Linked DNA regions of Oryctolagus cuniculus. The main gene of each other region encodes a partner of the protein of the gene in region 3 in a complex. Links are inferred from orthologs where the notes say so. Each region holds a gene or a part of one and is shown on either strand. Other genes may lie near its edges.

Region 1 (4,339 bases), on a different chromosome or scaffold from region 3:
TCACACGTTTCTATGGATTGGAAAGAGGTAGGGATTACAACCAGGGCCGGGCGGTCCGTAGGTCAGCCCGGAGGTCGTGCTGGTGCCTTGTGCAATCCTGTAGCTCTGAGTTTGTTCTCAGGAGCCCCCAGGCCCTCTTTTAGTGGGTTGGAGGGGGGCAGGGCCCCATACCCAAATCTGTCTCCACACGTGGCTCAGAAGTCCGGGGACCTCCGCGGACTCTGTTTTGCGAAGAGTTGTGACAGGCAGGAATGGCTCCCAATGGCGTCTCAGAGCTGGGCGTAGGAAGGAGGAGCCCACCCACACAGCTCTCTTGGTTCCAGTCCCCCCCCCCCCCCCCAGGTAGGTAGTGGGGAAGCCCAGGGTAAGACGCCCTCTGCTGAGGGCCTGAGGTTGGGGAGGAAGAGTCCCACCTTTACAGGGGATGCAGTTGGGGGCGCCCCCGTTGAAGATCATCCACTTGAAGAGCGTGTTGTCGTTCACGTCCTCCTCGGTCCACGAGGTGCTCAGGCGGCCCGTGCTGCAGCACTCCTCCTTGCTCAGCTCGGTCTTGTACAGGACCTGGCAGCGGCCGTTCTTGGCTTGGCGGAGCCAGCAGTTCCCAGCTGTGAAGAGTCGGGGGTGGGAGGTGGATGCGCCGGCGAGCGGCGGGGGACGAGGAGAGGGAGGCGGCGGGCGAGCGAGCACAGACGACACGGCGGGCGTGGGGAGGGGGTGAGCGTGGTGCAGGGAGGGCAGGGCGCGCGGCGGGGGAGACGCGCGGCAAATAAATAGGAGGGGGTGGAGGGGTTGGGAAGGAGGGGGGGAAGCCCTGATCCCAGAGGTGGGGGGCAGACGAGGGGAGGCAGGGCGAGGCAGAAGCCAGAGCGCCCCAGCCATATCAATGTCAGTTAACCAGTGACCCAGACACAACACGTGCAGCTTGCATTGACTTTTACTAGACTGTTTACTTTTATTCGTCCCATTTCATAACCTGCAGCGACTCGAAGGGCAGATTAAAGAACCTGACAAAAACAGGATGCGACGGATGTTTTTACATGTTGGTTTCATGTAGGCGGCACGGGAATTATTTGTGACAGGGGTTAAGAAAGTGAGAGAACGGGAGAGGAGAGGGAGAGAGAGGAGAAGGAGACACACACACACACACACACACACGCACGCACGCGCAGGAACAGATCAAGCAAAAAGGCACTTGCGAAAAATGAAAGCAAAAAAGCAATCCGGAGCTGCCCCGCGCGGCCTCGAGGCGCAGCCCGCCCGACGGGCCCGTTTTGCAATCCGCCGCCCCTGAGCACGCCCGCGGCCACCGGGAGCTTTCGAAATCTCCGAGGGCTGCTTTCCCTGGCGCCCACGTCCCTGGACGCGGGCAGCCGGGCGCAGGGCGGTGCAGACGGCGGGGTCGCTCACACCCTGGAAACGTTCACGCTCACGCGGGCAGGGCACCTCGGCCCGGGGCGAGCGTCCTGCCGGGTCCCGGCTCCGTACACCTAGCTCCCACCTAGCACGAAGAAACCTGTGCAAGGAATCTCTCCCCCTTCCCCTCTTTTAACACCCAGATTTGGTTCAGGAAGTAAGACTTTAACAATAACTGGACCACAGGCTGCTAGTATTATTTTAAAAATTCTGCCCAAGACTAATGGAAAGAAACAGCTATTTTTACAAGACAAACTTAAGAGATTTACTCTTGATACAGCTTAGCATTTAAATCAGTTGTGGGCTGCTCGCTGTTTTACAAAAAGTTAACAGTCCGAGGAATGAAGCAAAGAAGAGGGAAAAAAAAAAACTGTAAAGTAACTCACAACACTCCCGGGTAATAATTTGACTTTTTTTTTTTTTTTTGCGGGGTTGGGGGAGGGGGTTTGGAAGAAGCATCCATTAGGCAGAAAGCTACTTCCCTCGAAAATTTTCAGCACCCACATTTCCAAGTTTGGGCAAACTTTCTGAAACCACGTCCCCCAAGCCACCGGAGAAAATTCAGTGTCTCCGCAGCCCCAGGTCATTGTAAAAAGTCTCCAAAAGACGTGGGAGGCACAGAGGTTAGACTGCAAACCGGGCGGCCGAAATCCGCAGGCTACTACTGATGCTGGTCCCCAACCCCGGAGATACCATCTCAAGTCATCCCGGCCAGAACTCGGAGCATCTAACCCTAATACTGAGGCAGACTCCAGCCTGCTCCTTTTCCTTTTAAAGGAGAGCCGAGCTCCCAACTCCGCTGCCGGTCCCAAAGTGTCACTGCCTTGGTGTTTCCCCACTGCTCTCCATCGCGGAGTCGCTAACTTGGTCCAACATCTTCCAAGAGCAGCGTTGGGGCGAACAGACCACAGAAAAGTAGAGCCCCCTGCCCTCAGCCCAGCCTGCCCAGCGCATCCCCCCCTCCCCTCGCTTACCCTGGGCGCTGCGGTCCTCCATGAACTGGCAGAGCAGCAGCAGCAAGAGGCAAAGCCCGCCGGGCTGGTGCCTGGCGCGGACCATCCTGGGGGCAGGCGCGGGGCGAGGAGCGCGGCGGCGCGGGGAGCGGGCGCGGCGGCGGGGCGGCTGGTGCGAGCGGCGCGCGTCTCGGAGGCGAGCGGCGGAGGGCGCAGAGATCCGGGCGCAGCCCCGCGCTCACAGCCGGCCGCCCGCGCGATTCAATGGACGTCAGAAGCCGGGCGCAGCCGCGCTTTAAATCTAGACGGGGGTCTCCGCGGTTTGCGGTGGGCGGTCTCCCAGTGTGTGGGGCTGTGGGAGGGCGGCCTCGAGCGAGGGTGTGCGCGGCTCCTTGGGGGTGGGGAGCTTTTAAAAGTTCACTGTGAATCAGGTGACATTTCCCACCTTCTGGAAACCCTTCCCAGTTATCTGTCGGAGGTGCCCGAAATCAAAGCGGCAGGAGGGGAATCGCCGAGTTCTTATTTGCGTAGGAGCGGGAGGGAGGGGGCAGGCGGCCGGGGCGGGGGGTGGGGGCGACGCTCGGGGGTGGGGAGCGGGGAAGAACACCCACTTCATGTCCTGCACGCCGCCGCTTGCGGGCAGCGCGCCGCGCCCGGGGTGGCGTGTGTGCGTGCGTGCGTGTGTGTGTGTGTGTGTGTGTGCGGGTGTGCGCCGCGGGGCGCTGGAGCGGGCGGCGGGCCGAGCGGGGAAGCCGGCACTTGGTCTCCGCGCCGCTGCTTCTCCGCTCCTCGGCTCTGGCAAAAGACTTTGCAGACGCCGGGAGAGCCGCGGGCTGCTGGAGAGCCCTCGCTCGCTCAGGGTGGGGTCGGACCCTGCCAGCCTCCCGTACAGCCTGGGCGCGGGGGACCCGGCGGGAGGTTTTGTGTCTGGGTCTGTGCGTGCTGGACTTGGCGGCGGCGGCGGCTCTCGGCCCTGAGGGGTCGCTGGGAACCCCGGCCCCGGCACCTTCCACCCTGGCGGAGCAGCGCGGAGACGCAAGCCCCGGGTCTCCACGAGTAGCAAACAAAAATGTTTAACACCTCAGACACGGCCTCCCCCCCGGTGCAGTCTCGCCCTGTCCCTTTTCTTCTCTCTCCCCTTTCACTTCCCGGGCGTCTGGAGTCGGAGCCCCGAGCGGGGGCGCCGACGTAGGCGGTCTGCCCCCTCCTCCCCGCTCGGCGACTCCCCTAGTTTCTGTCCTGTGCGTCTCTGTCTCTCTCGTCTCCAGCTCGGCTCCAGACTCGATTCTCTCTCTCTCTCTCTCTCTCTCTCTCTCTCTCTCTCTTCTCTCTCTCTCTCTCTCCTCTCTCTCTCCCTCCCCCCCCCCCCGCGAATAAAAAAAGATTGCAACATCGATAATGAACTTCTGTAGCCTCAGTTTATTAAGTACAGTGCCTGGCATTCTTCACTGGAAGTTGGCGGGTCTCTCATTTATAACATTTTTGGCACCGCTGAATGAAACTGAGGAGGCGATATTTCCTTTTATATAAAGCGATTACTTCACGGAAAAGGCTATATTGTTTATTCCAAAGCTGCCTTTTAAATTGCTATTCATTTCGCTTCTCCAGCCCGTAGGACAACAGACAGCGAAGTATGCAGACAAAATTCTTGGACATTCGCAGGTCACTGGGATTTGTTCTACGGATTTCAAACCCGCCCCTCCTTCGCCCCCCTCCCCCAGTCCTCCCCAGGCCCTCCCACCCCCATCTTCCGTCACCCCCCTCCCACCCCCTCCACAACTGCAAATAACTCAGTGATAACAGATTTTTTTCCACCAACTGCAGGAGATAGTGCTAATCTTTTAATAAAAGATCCCATTACAATGGGATCTGTCTGGACAGACTATAATAGATCCCGAAGTACAGCCGTGCTAATATTAGAAGACAGTTGTTTGGGTGCCTCTCAGACGGGCCCGAGCCCCCCTTTGAAAGTG
Region 2 (3,592 bases), on a different chromosome or scaffold from region 3:
TAGATAACCAATTCTTAATAGCTGTGATTTGTTGAGTATACAGTGTGGTTATGTAAAAGCTGCTTCTTGAAGCAGCCATTGTACTCCACTCTGCAGGAGAATCATGTTTGCTTACTTCCTTTTTTGTCATACAGAATATTGAAAACTCTACTCAAGGGTTGAGACTTAATAAAATTAACAAATTGTGCTTTTCATCAAGGACATTCTTTTTTTTTTTAACTTTTATTTAATGAATATAAATTTCCAAAGTACAGCCCATGGATTACAATGGCTTCCCCCACATAACGTCCCTCCCACCCGCAACCCTCCCCCCCCACTCCCTCTCCCCTTCCATTCACATCAAGACTCACTTTCGACTCTCTTTATATACAGAAGATCAGCCTAGCATACATTAAGTAAAGATTTCAGCAGTTTGCTCCTACACAGAAACATAAAGTGAAAAATACTGTTTGAGTACTAGTTATAGCATTAAATCTCAATGTACAACACACTAAGGACAGAGATCCTACATGAGGAGTAAGTGCACAGTGACTCCTGTTGTTGACTTAACAAATTGACACTCTTGTTTATGGCCTCAGTAATCACCCTAGGCTCTTGTCATGAGCTGCCAAGGCTATGGAAGCCCCCTGAGTTCACTGACTCTGATCATATTTAGACAAGGCCATCGCCAAAGTGGAGGTTCTCTCCTCCCTTCAGAGAAAGGTACCTCCTTCTTTGATGACCCGTTCTTTCCACTGGGATCTCACTCGCGGAGATCTTTCATTTAGGTCCTCCCCCCCACCCCCCCCGAGTGTCTTGGCTTTCCATGCCTGAAATACTCTCATGGGCTTTTCAGCCGGATCCACATGCCTTAAGGGCTGATTCTGAGGCCAGAGTGCTGTTTAGGACATCTGCCATCTCATGTTGGATCATTCTCTCCCTTTTTTATTCTCTCAGCTAGTATTTGCAGACACTATTCTTGTTTATGTGATCCCTTTGGTTCTTAGTCCTATCATTATGATCAATTGTGAACAGAAATTGATCACTGGGACTAGTGAGATGGCATTGGTACATGCTACCTTGATGGGATTGAATTGGAATCCCCTGGTATGTTTCTAACTCTACCATTTGAGGTAAGTCAGCCAAGGACATTCTTAAGTGAAACTGGCATTGTCCAGAGAAATCTTTGGAAATATTTGGTCACTTCCCATTATTATTTTCATACTTAATATAAAGAGATTAACCTGAAGACCTAAACCCAAAATTGTAACACTGGGAAGATGAGATTTTTAGGAACATCTGAAGTTGCTATGTTGGAAGACAAACTCTTATTTAAGAGCTAATATATGGGGCCAGTGCTGTGGCATAGTGGATAAAGCCGCCACCTGCAGTTCTGGCATCACATATGGGCACCGGTTCAAGACCCAGCTGCTCCACTTCCCATCCAGCTCTCTGCTATGGCCTGGGAAGGCAGTACAAGATGGCCGAGTACTTGGGCCCCTGCACCCATGTAGGAGACCTGGAGGAAGCTCCTGGCTTCTGCTCAGTGTAGCTCTGGCCATTGCGGCTATTTGGGGAGGGAACCAGCAGATGGAAGACTTCTCTCTCTAACTCTTGCTTTCAAATAAATAAATAAATCTTAAAAAAAAAAAAAGAGCTAACATAATACATTGTTTTATTGTCTTATAGGTGCTATACTTGGTAGATCAGAAACTCAGGAGTGTCTTTTCTTTAACGCTAATTGGGAAAGAGACAGAACTAATCAAACTGGTGTTGAACCCTGTTATGGTGACAAAGATAAACGGCGGCATTGTTTTGCTACTTGGAAGAATATTTCTGGTTCCATCGAAATAGTGAAACAAGGTTGTTGGCTGGATGATATCAACTGCTATGATAGGTAAGGATGCATTTTATTTGTTAAGATAGTCTTAAGTAATTCTCATCACTGTCCCCTTTTTAAAGGAGAAAAAAAGATTATGAAGAGTTATGATATATTCTGTTGATAAAATATATTTAAAGAAGTAAGATAAACATGGTATACTTATATTTATCTTTGATATTTTTGAATAATCTAAGAAATGAGAATTTTTAGAAAAGAATCACTTTCCCTACATTGTTAGGTCTTTACTTTTTAATGGCAATTTTAAGGAAGAAAGGACTTTTAAAACCACTTTAAAAGAGAGTGTATCTGTTGGAAAATCTATCCTCTTGGAGAATAAAACCTAATTGTAGTATTTAATTTTAAGTTTCCTTCATTATGTATCTGGAAGAAATTGATTTTGTTACACCATGCCCCCTTTTTTTTCTTGTGGAGGAGGCCTTTGTTCTTTACCCCAAGAGACATTTTAACTTGACATTCAGAATTACATCAGAACACAGAGTCCCTATAGAAAGCTACATTTTATTTAATGTACATTGTTTGAGTTGTTTTATTCTGTACTGGAAATAAAATACAGTGGTCATGTTATTGACTGCCTATGTTCTCTCTGTAAAGAGTCCCATAGATGTTGGGCTGATCGCTTCAACTGTTTGGGCCACAAGATTTCCACTGCGGTGGGTGCTGAAGACTGACATTTGCACCCAGAAAGTGTTGCTGTATACACTGGATTGTAGATACTGTGGGTCTACTTTTAGGAGCCTGAATTGTTATCTTTAAATTGTGATTGGTTAGCTGTAACGGATAGAAAAATGCATTTACTGAGCCCATAAAAAATAGTTCTACTTTTGTTGAGAGATTAAAACAGTCATTTAGATATATATTTAGTTTTTAGGATATACTTTTAAGTCTGTGAGTTTCCCAGGGATTATTCCTCTATAATTATGTTTTAGCTGCATTTCTGATTAACCCCTCTACTAACAGAAATGGTCATCGGGTGATATGTGGTATCCTGAAAGGTAAATAGAAGAAATTCAGAGGGGAAGGGAGATGAAATTTGAGAGTCATGTTTGTCCAAAACTGTCTTCATGAGTTGAAATCAAGAATTCTTACCTTTTGTGGTGAAAAATTACTAAAAACAGTATTTCATTTATGTGAACTGCAGGCAGTGGTGAAAAGGGTACTGAGCCATTTTCCACTGGAGATCTGGATCGGGGAGTGCATTATTCAGTGCAAATGTTTGCTGTTGGAATGATAATTACTTCAACAGCTTTGTTTTGGGGGATTGAAGGCTGATTTAAAAATAAGTGAAATTTTGGTTTTATGCTCTGGTTTTGATTGAACAGTAATACAGATAGTAAGAGCAAGAAAAGTCAAAGAATGTCAATGTATGAAAGAAAAGGTAGTAATAAAAGATGAAATTGGATAGTGAAAGGTAATTCTTTTCAATTAGTTATTTAACTGTTCATCTACAATTTGAGGTGTGATTCTAAATATTTTTAAATTTATGCATTTATATTTATAAATTAATATTTAGCTTTGATTTGTTTTATCTTTTGGCAACTAGGTTTTTGTATACTCATAGGTTATATTTTAAAATTTCATTTGCTACAACTACTGTCTCCCTCATGTTTCTTGAGCTTTTCACTTAGGAGTTGAGTTCAAACTTATTCTAATAATCATCACAAAAGTTCACTTTATTGGTAAGATTGGTCTTTAAGTGCACCTGATGTTTAT
Region 3 (3,592 bases):
GGGCTTGTAGGCATGCAGAGGGATGTGCATCCCACAACTGTAAAAAGAACCTGAGCCTGGCTCCAAGTTCATGGCCCATACTTCTCACAGGTATTTTCCATTCAGCAACAGGTTGGTGTGGTCCCGGGCCAATGATTAGAATCTAGTTACTGAAGTTCTTCCTCTTCAGGACTGAGTGAGAGTTCAATGTAGTAGCTAAGAGCACTTTTGTCAAGGTTGCATTCCTTGGCAAGAGAGCTCCTGGTAACTTCAGAGAGAACAAACTTTTTTTTTTTTTTTTGGTGTGTGTGTTGGGGGGTGGTGGTGGTGGTTCTTTTTATTTTATTTATTTTGGGAGTTCAGAGAGCAAAAGTCAGTACTCCAAAATTGACCGCCGGTTCAGAGTCCACTGCCCCCCAGAACTGGGTTTCTGCTGCCCGTGCGCTTACAGAGGGAGTTTCTAAACATAAAAAGTGACTGTCACTGACGAACACGCCCTGCCTCTCTGATGTGGACCCAGATGGGACTTTTAAAGGAGAAAGGGTTTGCTTAAGACAATGACTTCATCCGTGCCGGGGCACGCTCACCCCCTCCCCCATCACGAACTTCGGCTGGGGTCCGGAAGCCTCCTTGCTCCGCGAGCCCCCAAACCCGCCCCGGGCTCTCGTCGGGCCAGCGGGACCCGCGCCCCTCTCAGAGCGGCCTCCAGCGACAGACCGGCCCAAGAGCGTCCGCCCCGCGTGCCCGGCGGAGTTGCGCGAGCGCCAGCCGCGCAGCCCGGAGCCGCCCCTCTGAGAAGTCCTCCGGCCCGGGTCCCCGGCCTCCCCTCCGGCCGCTGCCGGCGCCTGAACACCGGGAGCCGCTCGCAGCCGGAGGGCGCCAAGTTCCTCCCGGGACGGTGGGAGCCGGAGCCCGCGCGCCCCGCGATGCCAGCACCCACCTGACTCGGCGAACGTAATGATCTCCGAGGTCTGCTCCATCAGCTCATTCAGTTCTGCCCTCCTCCCGATGTCGTCTTCGATCTCCACGAAGCCGTTCTCCCCCACCTTGCCGACGTGAAGCTTTCGGATGGCGTTCAGAAGCGCCGCCTTGGGCACCGGCTGCGTGACCTCGGGCCTCTTCTTCAAGTGCAGCATGTTTAGGATGTGCTTCTTGACCGCCTCCACCATCTCTGGCTGCGAGTTGGGTCCATCCTTGGGCAGGGCGGCCAGCGCGCAGGACGGGCAGTCGGGGGCCGCGCTGTGCCCCTCGGCTCCTGGCGTGGGGGAACTCCTCCCTATAATCCAGCAACTTGCCAACAGGAATCCTCGGAGCCAGAGCAAGGGCATCCTGGCAGCCAAAGTTGTTGTGATTGCCTTTTTTAAAGGCCCTGCGTTTCCTCCCCCCTCTCGCACAGGTTTTTTTTTTTTTTTTTTTTTTTTTTTTTTGGTAGTGGTGGTGGTGTGCTTTTTTTTTTTTCCTTTTTTTTTTTTTCTCTTTCTCCTCTTCAGCAAATTTTCTGGAACAAGAACAAAAAGTTTTCTGTGAAGTTTTGTTTGCAGGTTCCCTCTCTGAATGCAGTCAGTGCCGTAGGTTTGTGGCTGTCAGGGAGGAGAGTTCTGAGTGTCTCCGAGTAAGAGAGAAGGAAAGAGGGAGGGAGGGAGGGAGGGAGAGAGAGAGGGAGGGAGACACGGGGTGGGGGGGGAGACAGAGACAGAGAGAGGATGGGAGGGAGAGAGAGACAGGGAGAGAGGAGAGAGGGGGTGAGAAGAGAGAGGGAGAGAAGGGGGAAGGGAGAGGGAGACAGAGAGAGTGAGGGAGGGAGAGAGGGAGGGAGGGAGGCAGAGAGAGGGAGAGTGAGAGAGAGGGAGAGAGAGAGAGAGAACGGATTGGCCCTAAGTGAGTGAGTGAATGGGAGAGGGAGGGAGCCCGTGAGTAGAGGCTGTGATTAGGGAGGGAGGGGCTGCCTTCCCTGGCAGGCTGCTTCGCTTCTGCTCCCAGCTCTCTCACACACCTCTCTGCAAACAGCACCCTCCTCGGGCTCCTACTTTCCCTTCTGAAACAAATCCCCCTAATTTTGTTCACTTTTGGTTTTTCTCTCTTTGTCTGCCCCAATGCCCTGGCCTCGCCTTCTTCCTTTTTTGGAGGGAGGAAGAAAAAAAAAAAAAAACGCACGGTGTCCATCCCCTGGGAGGGCTCCATTCAAGTAGCGCCCCCCCCACGCCCCCGGGCGCCCTCCCCCCACCCCGACCTCGCCGCAGCCCTGGGCGACCACACGCCCACCTGGCGGTCAGGTGGGGCTGAGGCAGCCAGGAGGTCCGGCTGACAGGTGGCGGAGGTCGCGGGGACAGGGGCCCGGGGCGAAGGAGCGCCCGCGGCCCTGGACGGCGGGGCCCCGGGCAGTGCGGGGGAGACCTTCCCCGCTCCCATTCATTCCTGCGGAAGTGCTCGGGGTCGGCCCCGCGGGCGGGCGACCCGAGGCTCTGCCCGCGGAACTTGCGTTTCGGGCCGGAGGAGCGGCCGTGCGTCGCCGGCGGCGCTGTGCGGGAGGGCTCCGCGCGGCGCGCCCGCCGGGGCCACCTGAGGGGCTCCCCCGCGCCCCGCTTCCGCCGCCCGCCGGTGCCCTGCACGCACTCGGGCGCGCGCCTGCAGCTACCGCTGCGTCCCGACTGCACCGGGAAAACGCGAGATGCCTTTGGCCTTTCCCACATTCTCTTACAAAGGGAGCGCACTCCTCTGACTTGACTAACTGGCCCGAGGGGAACAGAATCCCCGAAATATATTGGCAAATTGTTTTTCTCTGTCACGTGGTCGTTTGCTCAGCTTGCCCCCAGCCCGTCCCGACCAGCGCGTGCACGGACAGCCTCCTCCAGGGCTGCTCTTTCCCTCAGAGGAACAGCACAGATGAAATCATCGTGGATTTTAGTGTTCACAGCAAAGGAAAAATGTGACTTCTTAAACAATGCCTTTCCGAGGCTTTTTTAAAAAAGTCTCCTTCCCTCCTCCCCCTCCCCTTTTTCATTTTCCGTCTTATTGCTTTTATCTCGCAGAAGTATCTTTAAGGGGTCCATCTGTTAAAGCTTCCCTTCCCTTTCTGCTGCTTTGCCACACAGAAGCCCTCGTGGTTTCTGGGGGTACTGTCAGCTTTTATCTGACACCCCGTGTGTTCGCAGCATTCTAGTTAAGCCAGGCGGTTTGGAGCAGAAAGAGTTAATGAGCACCTTCACTACAAGTCTAAGATCTGAGTGTAAAGAGGGAGAAAAAGCTGTCACTGAGTTAAAATCACAGCTTGCAGAGGTAGCAACGCTCTTCTGAATTGTCCACACTGCCCCCTTTTCCAAAAGGAGTCTCTGTGGCAAGCCATTCAACACCTTTGGGGTTGGGGCTCCAGAAACATCCATTACTTTGCTCTTATTGTTAAAACTTTGTCCACATTGCCTGAAAAGCCACCTTTTCTTCCCAGTGGGGGGTGGTGAGAGGGGACAGGAGAGTAGGGGCAGTTGTTAAAATGGTTTCATAAATCTCGCTGTACTATAATACTTAACATCACCCACCTATGTGTAGTCACAGACACGGTACCCAAAGCATTTTGCAGTGCCATTAAGTTTTACAAGAGAGTCCGAAATAGAGCTAA

The links.
Region 1: the proteins of INHBA (region 3) and FST are in contact, whole or in part, in a crystal structure (PDB 2P6A), measured with the Homo sapiens proteins. The link is inferred for Oryctolagus cuniculus from reciprocal best matches to the Homo sapiens genes INHBA and FST. Residues at the interface, in NP_002183.1 of Homo sapiens: Asp315, Phe327, Asp337, Trp338, Ile340, Ala341, Gly344, Tyr345, His346, Gly360, Thr361, Gly363, Phe368, Thr371, Arg397, Ser400, Leu402, Tyr404, Asp405, Asp406, Gly407, Gln408, Asn409, Ile410, Ile411, Lys412; in NP_037541.1 of Homo sapiens: Trp33, Arg35, Val44, Leu45, Arg60, Phe76, Met79, Asp135, Glu152, Pro154, Glu155, Val180, Val181, Asp182, Gln183, Tyr188, Val190, Arg221, Thr224, Cys225, Arg229, Ser230, Ile231, Gly232, Leu233, Glu328.
Region 2: the proteins of INHBA (region 3) and ACVR2A are in contact, whole or in part, in a crystal structure (PDB 7U5P), measured with the Homo sapiens proteins. The link is inferred for Oryctolagus cuniculus from reciprocal best matches to the Homo sapiens genes INHBA and ACVR2A. Residues at the interface, in NP_002183.1 of Homo sapiens: Ile340, Ala341, Pro342, His346, Arg397, Pro398, Met399, Ser400, Met401, Leu402, Tyr404, Asn409, Ile410, Ile411, Lys412, Asp414, Glu421; in NP_001265508.1 of Homo sapiens: Asn36, Asp53, Lys56, Phe61, Thr63, Lys65, Val74, Lys75, Cys78, Trp79, Leu80, Asp81, Asp82, Ile83, Asn84, Val100, Phe102.

The regions. Positions count from the first base shown.
Region 1 is NC_091445.1:74,276,639-74,280,977, reverse strand, and holds the start of FST (follistatin), read right to left. Parts: upstream 2,862-4,339; 5' UTR 2,473-2,861; coding exon 2,388-2,472; intron 606-2,387; coding exon 414-605; intron 11-413; coding exon 1-10. UniProt on the Homo sapiens protein: Multifunctional regulatory protein whose primary function is to antagonize members of the transforming growth factor beta (TGF-beta) superfamily including activin, myostatin, GDF11 or bone morphogenetic proteins (BMPs).
Region 2 is NC_091434.1:94,321,489-94,325,080, reverse strand, and holds part of ACVR2A (activin receptor type-2A), read left to right. Parts: intron 1-1,668; coding exon 1,669-1,876; intron 1,877-3,592. UniProt on the Homo sapiens protein: On ligand binding, forms a receptor complex consisting of two type II and two type I transmembrane serine/threonine kinases.
Region 3 is NC_091447.1:31,701,704-31,705,295, forward strand, and holds part of INHBA (inhibin beta A chain), read right to left. Parts: intron 1,478-3,592; 5' UTR 1,308-1,477; coding exon 920-1,307; intron 1-919. UniProt on the Homo sapiens protein: Inhibins/activins are involved in regulating a number of diverse functions such as hypothalamic and pituitary hormone secretion, gonadal hormone secretion, germ cell development and maturation, erythroid differentiation, insulin secretion, nerve cell survival, embryonic axial development or bone growth, depending on their subunit composition.